Saccharomyces cerevisiae S288C: one gene and its partners. The gene in region 1 interacts genetically with each later gene. Each region holds a gene or a part of one and is shown on either strand. Other genes may lie near its edges. The genes, in order: LTE1, NUM1 and RTT109.

The links.
Region 2: mutations in LTE1 (region 1) and NUM1 are lethal when combined (synthetic lethality), as found in Saccharomyces cerevisiae (3 studies listed by BioGRID, with this or other methods).
Region 3: mutations in LTE1 (region 1) and RTT109 impair growth when combined (synthetic growth defect), as found in Saccharomyces cerevisiae (5 studies listed by BioGRID, with this or other methods).

Annotation. Positions count from the first base shown.
Region 1 is NC_001133.9:103,802-107,638, reverse strand, and holds the start of LTE1 (mitotic regulator LTE1), read left to right. Parts: upstream 1-1,766; coding exon 1,767-3,837. Other genes in the region: dolichyl-phosphate-mannose-protein mannosyltransferase PMT2, read left to right, coding at 1-1,367. UniProt on the Saccharomyces cerevisiae protein: GDP-GTP exchange factor for TEM1, a Ras-like protein, component of the mitotic exit network (MEN).
Region 2 is NC_001136.10:753,799-757,398, forward strand, and holds the start of NUM1 (Num1p), read left to right. Parts: upstream 1-1,829; coding exon 1,830-3,600. Other genes in the region: KGD2 (dihydrolipoyl transsuccinylase), read right to left, coding at 1-1,268. UniProt on the Saccharomyces cerevisiae protein: Controls nuclear migration. NUM1 specifically controls the interaction of the bud neck cytoskeleton with the pre-divisional G2 nucleus. Functions in dynein-anchoring.
Region 3 is NC_001144.5:144,705-148,287, forward strand, and holds RTT109 (H3 histone acetyltransferase RTT109), read left to right. Parts: upstream 1-1,586; coding exon 1,587-2,897; downstream 2,898-3,583. Other genes in the region: SFI1 (Sfi1p), read left to right, coding at 1-1,337; dynamin-related GTPase DNM1, read left to right, coding at 3,186-3,583. UniProt on the Saccharomyces cerevisiae protein: Histone chaperone-dependent acetylase that modifies 'Lys-9', 'Lys-14', 'Lys-23', 'Lys-27', and 'Lys-56' on histone H3 (H3K9Ac, H3K14Ac and H3K23Ac, H3K27Ac, and H3K56Ac) to promote nucleosome assembly, genomic stability, DNA repair and transcriptional regulation during mitotic S-phase.

The DNA of each region.
Region 1 (3,837 bases):
TCAAAATACATTTTGACCTATTATCGCATTCTGGTACAGGTGATGCTAACATGCCATCTCTTTTCCAAGCAAGATTAGTGGGTTCTGACGTCGGACAAGGCCCCCGTGACATTGCTCTAGGTTCCTCCGTTGTTTCCATCAAAAACCAAGCTCTTGGAGGATCTCTATTGCACTCACATATACAAACTTATCCAGATGGGTCCAACCAACAACAAGTAACCTGTTATGGTTACAAAGATGCTAACAACGAATGGTTTTTCAACAGAGAAAGAGGCTTACCATCATGGTCAGAAAACGAAACTGACATCGAGTATTTGAAGCCAGGTACCTCCTATAGATTGGTACACAAAAGCACGGGCAGAAACTTGCACACCCACCCAGTTGCTGCACCAGTGTCAAAGACACAATGGGAGGTTTCTGGTTACGGTGACAATGTTGTTGGTGACAACAAAGACAATTGGGTTATTGAGATCATGGACCAAAGAGGAGATGAAGACCCTGAGAAGTTGCACACATTGACCACCTCTTTCCGTATCAAGAACTTGGAGATGGGCTGTTACTTGGCTCAAACCGGTAACAGTTTGCCCGAATGGGGTTTCAGACAACAAGAGGTTGTCTGCATGAAAAACCCATTCAAGAGGGACAAGAGGACCTGGTGGAACATCGAGACCCACGAAAATGAAAGGTTGCCACCAAGACCCGAAGATTTTCAATACCCAAAGACCAACTTCTTAAAAGACTTCATTCATTTAAATCTAGCCATGATGGCCACTAATAACGCTTTGGTGCCAGATCCAGACAAATTTGATTACTTAGCTTCCTCAGCATGGCAATGGCCAACTTTGAATGTGGGTTTGAGACTATGTGGCTGGGGTGATGATAATCCAAAATACTTCCTATTGGGTACCCCAGCTTCCACGTGGGCTTCTAGTGTTGCCGTCCTCGCATTCATGGCCACGGTCGTTATCTTACTGATCAGATGGCAAAGACAATATGTGGACCTAAGAAATCCATCTAACTGGAACGTTTTCTTAATGGGCGGGTTCTACCCACTACTAGCTTGGGGCCTACACTACATGCCATTCGTTATCATGTCTAGAGTCACCTACGTTCATCATTACTTGCCTGCCTTGTATTTTGCACTGATCATTTTGGCGTACTGTTTCGACGCCGGTTTGCAAAAATGGTCCAGATCTAAGTGCGGCCGTATCATGCGGTTCGTCCTATACGCCGGATTCATGGCACTTGTAATTGGTTGCTTCTGGTACTTCTCCCCAATATCATTTGGTATGGAGGGACCAAGTAGTAACTTCCGCTACTTAAACTGGTTTTCCACTTGGGACATTGCCGACAAGCAAGAAGCATGAATTAAGATCATCGTAGTAAGTACATAAGTAAAAAACAAGAATTAAATAAAATTTCTATATCAACCAGCAGAAGAAGTGGTCTATATAAACCACTATATAATGAATTTCGATAAACACTCTTTAATTGTTAACCAGGCTGTTCTCCTTACTCATCTTTGCGATCCGATGCTGTTTTATTACCCTTCTATTTTTTCCTTTCTGCATTTTGATTTTCGCGAATAATGAAATTCTTGATCTTTTTATCAACAATGAAAAAAAAACTGTAAACAGAAACTGATAATTTCTTGAACCCTTTAGCCCACCCCAACCGTACTCGTGTTATTCGCTCGTTGATTTACGCGAACCTTTTTGTTTGCTTTACATAGCCTCTAGCCATTCAAAGATTCGCTACCCTGAACCATGGAAATATTTAGCCAGAAAGATTACTACCCGACTCCATCCTCAAATGTTATTAGCTATGAAAGCGATTGTGTATCCAAACCAGTGAATAGTGCAGACCTGCCCGCGTTAATTGTACACCTTTCTTCCCCTTTGGAAGGTGTAGACTACAACGCATCTGCAGATTTTTTCCTTATTTATAGGAATTTTATAACGCCTCAAGACTTACACGACTTACTCATCTATAGATTTCGATGGTGTATTAGGGAGATCACAACAAATGCTGCAAAAGCTAAGAGAAGGCGAATTGGTGAAGTTGCCCTCGTGAGGACGTTTGTGTTGTTGAGGCATTCCATACTGAATTATTTTGTGCAAGATTTTTTACCGAACATAACATTAAGACTTCGGTTGATCGAGTTTCTAAACGACAAACACATTGAACAGTACCCAAAAATAATTTCCAGCTGTATAATCAATCTGAAAAAAAACTGGGTGCATTGTTCTAAGTTGGTTTGGGAGAATATTGAACTAAATGAACCTGATAAATTAGACTTTGATGCATGGCTGCATTATTCGTTAAAGGATTTCACGCAACTAGAAAGCCTACACAAAAGAGGAAGCCGACTGAGCATTTACGCCAGGCAAAGTTTTGCCAGTCCTGATTTTCGTAACCAAAGCGTTTTATCATTATATAAAACTTCTGATGTATTTAGACTGCCGGAGAAGCTACAGTCTTCAAATTCTTCCAAAAACCAGAGAAGCCCTTCTATGCTTTTATTTCCCGATAATACATCAAATGTTTACTCGAAGCACCGAATAGCGAAAGAACCTTCAGTTGATAATGAAAGCGAGGACATGTCAGATAGTAAACAAAAGATCAGCCACTTGTCAAAAGTCACTCTAGTATCCACACTAATGAAAGGCGTAGACTACCCGTCATCATATGCAGTCGATAAAATAATGCCTCCAACACCGGCTAAAAAAGTTGAATTTATTCTGAATTCCTTATATATTCCTGAAGATTTAAATGAACAAAGCGGAACGCTTCAAGGTACATCGACGACATCATCTCTAGATAACAATAGCAACAGTAATAGTAGATCTAATACATCTTCAATGTCTGTGTTACATCGCAGCGCTATTGGTCTTTTAGCTAAGTGGATGAAAAACCATAATCGCCATGATAGCAGTAATGATAAAAAATTTATGAGTGCTATTAAACCAGCAAACCAGAAACCTGAAATGGATGCGTTTGTCAAATACGTTGTATCAATATCATCTCTCAATAGAAAATCTTCCAAGGAAGAAGAGGAAGAGTTTCTTAACTCTGATTCTTCTAAATTTGACATCCTAAGTGCAAGAACCATAGATGAAGTGGAGTCCCTACTGCATTTACAAAACCAGCTGATAGAAAAAGTTCAAACACATTCGAATAACAACCGAGGTCCTACAGTTAATGTTGATTGTGAACGTCGGGAACACATACATGATATAAAGATTTTACAACAAAATAGCTTTAAACCGAGTAATGATAATTTTAGCGCTATGGACAATTTGGATCTGTATCAAACCGTAAGTTCAATTGCTCAGTCAGTCATCTCTTTAACTAATACTTTAAACAAGCAACTGCAGAACAATGAATCGAATATGCAGCCATCACCCTCGTATGATGCACTGCAACGAAGGAAAGTAAAAAGTCTCACGACAGCATATTACAATAAAATGCACGGTAGCTACTCAGCAGAAAGTATGAGGCTCTTTGATAAAGATAATAGTTCTTCACGTACAGACGAGAATGGACCTCAAAGATTGTTATTCCATGAAACTGATAAAACCAACTCAGAAGCGATTACAAATATGACACCAAGGAGGAAAAATCATTCCCAATCCCAAAAAAGCATGACTTCTTCGCCTCTGAAAAATGTTCTACCTGATCTTAAAGAATCGTCTCCCTTAAACGATAGTAGGGAAGACACAGAATCAATAACATACTCATACGATTCCGAGTTGTCATCCAGCTCTCCACCCAGAGATACTGTAACGAAAAAGTCAAGAAAAGTCAGAAACATCGTGAATAATACAGATAGTCCAA
Region 2 (3,600 bases), on another chromosome or scaffold:
GAGACAATTTGTCCATTAACAGTGACAGGTCTCTCTTTGACACCATGCAAGCCTAGGACGGCTGTTTGTGGTGAATTGATGATAGGAGTACCGTATAATGAACCAAAAACACCACCATTAGATATGGTGAAAGTACCACCCGTCATATCTTCTAGGGTTAATTTGCCATCACGCGCTTTATGACTCAAGCGAACAATTTCGTTCTCAATATCTAAAACACTCAATGACTCTGCATTACGAACGACGGGGGTAACCAAACCCTTTGGAGTGGCCACAGCAACAGAAATATCTGTGTAATCACGATAAACAATCTGGTCACCTTCAATGGCACCATTGACGGCTGGAATATCCTTGGCGGCCAAGGTACATGCTTTGGAGAAAAGACCCATGAATCCGAATTTAGTACCGGTCTTCTTAATAATCTCATCTTTATACAGTTTCCTCATTTCCATCAAAGCTGACATGTCAACTTCGTTGAATGTGGTTAAGGAAGCAGCAGTGTTTTGAGACTCTTTTAATCTTTCGGCAATCCTCAATCTCATACGGTTCATTTTGACCCTGGTTTCTGTACGTGGAAATGGTGTGAAAGAGTTAGAGGCTACTGGGGGTTCCTGCGCCTTAGAGACGGTCTTCTTTGGTTGATCAGCCTTTTTTGGTTCTGTAACTTCTTTCTTTGGAGCGGCTTCTTTCTTTGGAGCAGCTTCTTTCTTTGAAGCCGTTTCCTCACTTGAGTTTTCCCTTGCGGCGACACCTTGCGATGGCTCCGCTTGTTCGGTAGGCTCTGGCTTAGATTCTCCAGAACCCTCAGCAGGTGCTTCACCAGGCTCGACCTGAGCTAACTCCTCACCAACAGTGACAGTGTCCTCTGGTTTGAAATTTAGCTTCGTAACAGTACCTGATACTGGCGAATTGACCTCAATATCAATTTTATCGGTCTCAATAGTGGCCAACAGCTCGTCCTCCTTAATAAAATCACCAACGTTTTTAGTATATTCCTTTAAAGAGCCTTCAGTCAGGGACTCTGCCATCGGAGGAACTTCAATAGAGGTAGATTTAAAACGATTGCTAGTTATGGAGAACGGATTCGCCGCAACTGAAATTTTCTTGCCGGATAAATATATTGAACCTAAGGATTCGACCTTGTTAGCTTGTTTGAACAAACTTGTAGAAGCATGTCTCTTGACGAAAGAAGCAGCCATAACATTTCTAGCCACTTTAGATTTTACTAAGGATTTGGCAGCTGCAGTACGCGTCGCTCTGGAAAGCATTGTTTAAATAATTATCTGAAGTTGTGTCTTTGGTTGTAACAAATGTGGTAGTGAAGTTTATAACAATATATCTATTCACTGATATATACCGTTAAAGATAGCTGCCTAATTTTTTATTTCGGATTTTTCTTTTTTTTACGTTAGATATTTCCTCCCCTGAAGCTCAAAAAGAGATTATATATGAAAAGTAGGCCTAGTTGAGGGAAAAAGGATTTGCATTTGCTGATAGACCAAGTGTGGATCCGAGCCCTGTAGTAGAATGGTGCTAATGTAGAATAAGAATAAGCTTTAGGAACCATAGATTCCTGCGTAATTTGTGGCCGCTTTATTGGCTCACTCCGGGCAGGACCTTAGTTTTGATTGGCTGCAAAAAAAGGGTTGTTAATATCGTCTTTGACGGAGATGCGGGTGGCTGGAATTGTTTTGTTTATTATTCCCCAAGAGAGAAGAGACAAGAAGTAGTAATGACGATGGAACAAAGATCGGTTCTAATAGGACCACAGGGTTGAATAGAGACGAGTAAAGACGCAACGGTCAAGGCTTTCCACGAGACGTTCGAATATGTCCCACAACAACAGGCATAAAAAGAATAACGATAAAGACAGCTCAGCAGGGCAGTATGCAAATAGCATTGACAATTCATTAAGCCAGGAAAGCGTCTCAACGAACGGCGTAACAAGGATGGCTAACTTAAAGGCTGATGAATGCGGCAGTGGTGATGAAGGAGATAAAACAAAGCGGTTTTCGATTTCAAGTATTTTGAGTAAAAGAGAGACAAAAGACGTGCTTCCGGAATTTGCAGGCAGTAGTTCCCACAATGGAGTACTCACGGCGAATTCATCAAAGGATATGAACTTTACTTTGGAACTAAGCGAGAATTTGTTGGTTGAGTGTAGGAAATTGCAATCCTCTAATGAAGCTAAAAATGAGCAAATCAAGTCTCTCAAGCAAATTAAAGAGTCATTAAGTGACAAGATTGAGGAGCTCACTAACCAAAAAAAGTCCTTCATGAAAGAGTTGGATTCAACTAAAGATTTAAACTGGGATTTAGAATCTAAATTAACAAACTTGAGCATGGAATGTAGGCAATTAAAAGAATTGAAGAAAAAGACTGAAAAATCTTGGAATGATGAAAAAGAAAGCCTGAAACTTCTGAAAACAGATTTGGAAATTTTAACATTAACAAAAAATGGCATGGAAAATGATCTTAGCTCTCAAAAACTTCATTACGATAAAGAGATTAGTGAATTAAAGGAAAGGATTTTAGACTTAAATAATGAAAACGACAGATTACTTATTAGTGTTTCTGATCTAACAAGTGAAATTAATTCCTTACAGAGCAATAGAACTGAAAGAATAAAAATTCAAAAGCAACTTGATGACGCCAAAGCATCTATTTCTTCGTTAAAAAGAAAAGTACAAAAGAAGTATTATCAAAAACAGCATACTTCCGATACTACAGTAACATCTGATCCTGATTCTGAGGGGACCACTAGTGAAGAAGACATTTTTGATATAGTGATCGAAATTGACCACATGATTGAAACAGGCCCCTCTGTCGAGGACATTTCTGAAGATCTTGTCAAGAAATACTCAGAAAAAAACAATATGATATTGTTATCGAATGATTCATATAAAAACTTACTACAAAAAAGTGAAAGTGCATCCAAACCAAAAGACGATGAATTAATGACCAAAGAGGTGGCTGAAAACCTGAATATGATCGCGTTACCAAATGATGACAATTACAGCAAAAAAGAGTTTTCGTTAGAATCTCATATTAAATATTTAGAAGCTTCTGGCTATAAAGTTCTTCCTCTAGAGGAGTTTGAGAACCTAAACGAATCCCTATCAAATCCATCATATAACTATCTCAAGGAAAAACTTCAGGCTTTGAAAAAGATACCCATCGATCAAAGTACGTTTAACTTGTTAAAAGAGCCTACTATTGATTTTTTACTGCCTTTAACATCCAAAATTGATTGCCTGATAATACCTACCAAAGATTATAATGACCTTTTTGAGAGTGTCAAGAATCCATCAATTGAACAAATGAAAAAATGCCTGGAAGCAAAGAACGACTTACAATCGAATATTTGTAAATGGCTGGAGGAGAGAAACGGCTGTAAATGGCTAAGTAATGATCTGTATTTTTCAATGGTTAATAAGATAGAAACACCTTCGAAACAATACCTGTCAGATAAGGCAAAAGAATACGACCAAGTGCTGATTGATACTAAAGCCTTAGAAGGTTTAAAGAACCCAACGATAGACTTTCTAAGAGAAAAAGCTTCTGCATCAGATTATTTATTACTCAAAAAAGAAGACTACG
Region 3 (3,583 bases), on another chromosome or scaffold:
AGCAGAAATGTAAAAAGAGTATTCAAGCAAGCGCGTATCGTACATGGAGGAAAAGAATACAGTATGGGAAAATATCGAGCGAACATGTTAAAACGGCATTTTGTGCAAAATATCTTGGTGTGTGGAAAAGGAGGATGCTACAAATGAATTCTATGAATGACGAAGCATCCAAATTTTACGAAGAGGGTCTCGTAAATGAGTGTCTAGCTATATGGAAAGAACGCCTGATTAAAACTAAGGAATTGGAGGATAGATACAATTTCTTATGTAAGACACATGCAATTTTGACTGTAAAACGGACGCTAATGCATATTGATAATGTTCATTTGCTATATACGAAACTGGCGCCCTCTATGGATAGAGTAAAGCTTTCTAAGGCCTTTTTAAAGTGGCGGAAAGCCACAAGGTTCAAAGTCAGGCATAAGTTAAACGATATTTTACACGTTTATGAAAAGAGTAAAGAGCGCGAACTTCAAAGCCAACTGTTCAACGCTTGGCGAAATAGATTTTGCTTCTACACAGAAGAATGTAACATTCAGGCTATTTCAAAGAGAAACTACCAGCTTGAAAAAATGGTGCTGAAGAAATTTAGAGAAAGACTTTTAGAGATAGTAAAATCAGAAGAATTAGCAGACGAAGTTCGCGAAGAATTTGTGTTAGTCAAGACGTTTTATATTTGGAAAACTCATCTAGACGAAATATTTTATATGAGTACATTATTGGAACAATCGGAAGCTAATAAACAATTCATAATTACATCCAAATTCTTGAAAATGTGGAGTCTTCGATTCCTAAAAATTAAGCGTAATGATGAGACAGTCGAGGTGTTTCGTCATCGGTGGGACAGGGCCACTGTAAGGGGATTGTTATTATTATGGAAAAATCGTTCAGACAGTTCTCCAAAGAGAAGGAAGGACTTCAATCTTAAACATGAACTAAAAACTCCCATAAGATCAGACTCTCAAAACGCCTCAACCATACCAGGCTCAGAAAGAATAAAGCAGCACAGAATGGAAGCGATGAAGTCGCATTATAGCAGGGCAAGAAGAGCCATACCAAGTCCGGTGAAATCTTCCAGTGTTCTTGATTCTACAGCTAAAAAACAGATCAACCTTGAAAGTACGACAGGCTTAAACGGATCTCCGACGCGAGGAAAACCTCTAAGGTATTCTCCTAGGCGTACCACTAGAAACATGCCATCCAAAGTTGACCATATTGATTTTGGCAGAATACCCGCTGTACCTTTTAGCCTAAGCGCCAATTCTCCTAAAATCGATCAAGATATGGATTATATAAGAGAGCATGATAAATCCCCGTTAAGTCGTAAACGTCAATAGATATATATATTATGTACGTATGTATGTGTGCATATGTAGTCGTAACCTTTCTTGCTTCTGAGATGCATACAATTACTAATAATATTCTCCAGGTCTATGAAAACATCACAACATACTATACTTTTCGTGTTCGCGTTGTAAGCTATAATGGAAAATGGACGCCATAACGCATTACTTAACAAACTACAGTTTGTCAATAGAGTTGTCCAGTAGAGTTAAAAGGTCAATTCAACCGGTCTTCAATAAGACATGTCACTGAATGACTTCCTAAGTTCCGTGCTACCTGTCAGTGAACAATTTGAATACTTATCGTTGCAATCTATTCCGTTAGAAACCCATGCTGTCGTAACCCCAAATAAGGACGACAAAAGGGTCCCAAAAAGCACGATCAAGACTCAACACTTCTTTAGTCTATTTCACCAAGGAAAAGTTTTTTTTTCATTAGAAGTGTATGTGTATGTCACGCTTTGGGATGAAGCAGATGCCGAACGGTTAATATTTGTATCAAAGGCAGACACTAATGGTTATTGTAATACGAGGGTAAGCGTTAGAGATATTACAAAAATAATATTAGAATTTATATTATCAATCGACCCGAATTACTATCTTCAAAAAGTAAAACCGGCAATAAGATCATATAAGAAGATATCCCCCGAGCTGATTAGCGCAGCCAGTACGCCAGCAAGAACTTTAAGGATTTTGGCTAGAAGGCTTAAACAGTCAGGCAGCACCGTTTTGAAAGAAATAGAATCTCCACGTTTTCAACAAGATCTTTATCTCTCATTCACCTGTCCTCGTGAGATTTTGACCAAAATTTGTTTATTTACTAGACCTGCATCCCAGTACCTCTTCCCAGATTCTTCAAAAAACAGCAAAAAGCATATACTAAATGGCGAGGAACTAATGAAATGGTGGGGCTTTATTTTGGATAGATTACTAATTGAATGCTTTCAAAATGATACACAAGCAAAATTAAGGATACCGGGCGAAGATCCTGCTCGAGTAAGATCATACCTAAGAGGGATGAAATATCCACTATGGCAAGTGGGTGATATATTTACCTCTAAAGAAAATTCTCTTGCGGTATATAATATTCCATTATTCCCAGACGATCCTAAGGCTAGATTTATACACCAATTGGCAGAGGAAGATCGCCTCCTCAAAGTAAGCTTATCATCCTTCTGGATTGAACTACAAGAGCGTCAAGAGTTCAAATTAAGTGTCACATCATCTGTAATGGGTATTTCGGGATACTCTCTTGCCACTCCATCTTTATTTCCATCTAGTGCCGATGTTATTGTACCGAAGTCAAGGAAGCAGTTTAGGGCAATCAAGAAGTACATTACTGGAGAGGAATACGATACAGAGGAAGGCGCAATAGAAGCTTTCACCAATATTCGTGATTTTCTATTGCTCAGAATGGCAACAAATCTTCAATCTTTAACAGGGAAGAGGGAGCATCGGGAGAGAAATCAGCCGGTTCCTGCAAGCAACATCAACACGTTGGCGATAACAATGCTAAAACCGCGTAAAAAAGCTAAAGCCTTGCCTAAAACTTGATACATATTGATATTTATTATTTAGTACACGTATGTAGCATCGATCTTAGAAAATGCATGTTTGTATTTATTGTTAGTACCTTGATCGCCACCTTTCTAGGTAATGATAGGTCCTCAACTTTTACTACGCGGTGCACGCCTGTAAGGTCGGGCAAAACAAAGTGTGGGAACAATAAATAAGAGGGTAGGATGAAATATTACCTTTACTCTACTGCTCAGGTTGGCCACAATTTGCTAAAGAGTTTATCATTAAGTAGCTACCAGCGAATCTAAATACGACGGATAAAGAATGGCTAGTTTAGAAGATCTTATTCCTACTGTCAACAAGCTGCAGGATGTTATGTACGACTCCGGGATCGATACACTCGATTTGCCCATTTTAGCTGTTGTTGGGTCACAATCCTCCGGGAAATCCTCGATATTGGAAACGTTAGTTGGAAGAGATTTTTTACCTAGGGGTACTGGTATTGTCACAAGAAGACCGTTAGTTCTTCAACTTAATAACATATCTCCAAATTCTCCTCTAATAGAGGAAGATGATAACTCAGTTAATCCACATGATGAAGTTACAAAAATATCAGGATTCGAAGCTGGTACGAAGCCCTTGGAGTATAGGGGCAAGGAAAGAAATCATGCAGATGAGTGGGGGGAATTCCTGCATATACCAGGAAAACGGTTTTATGATTT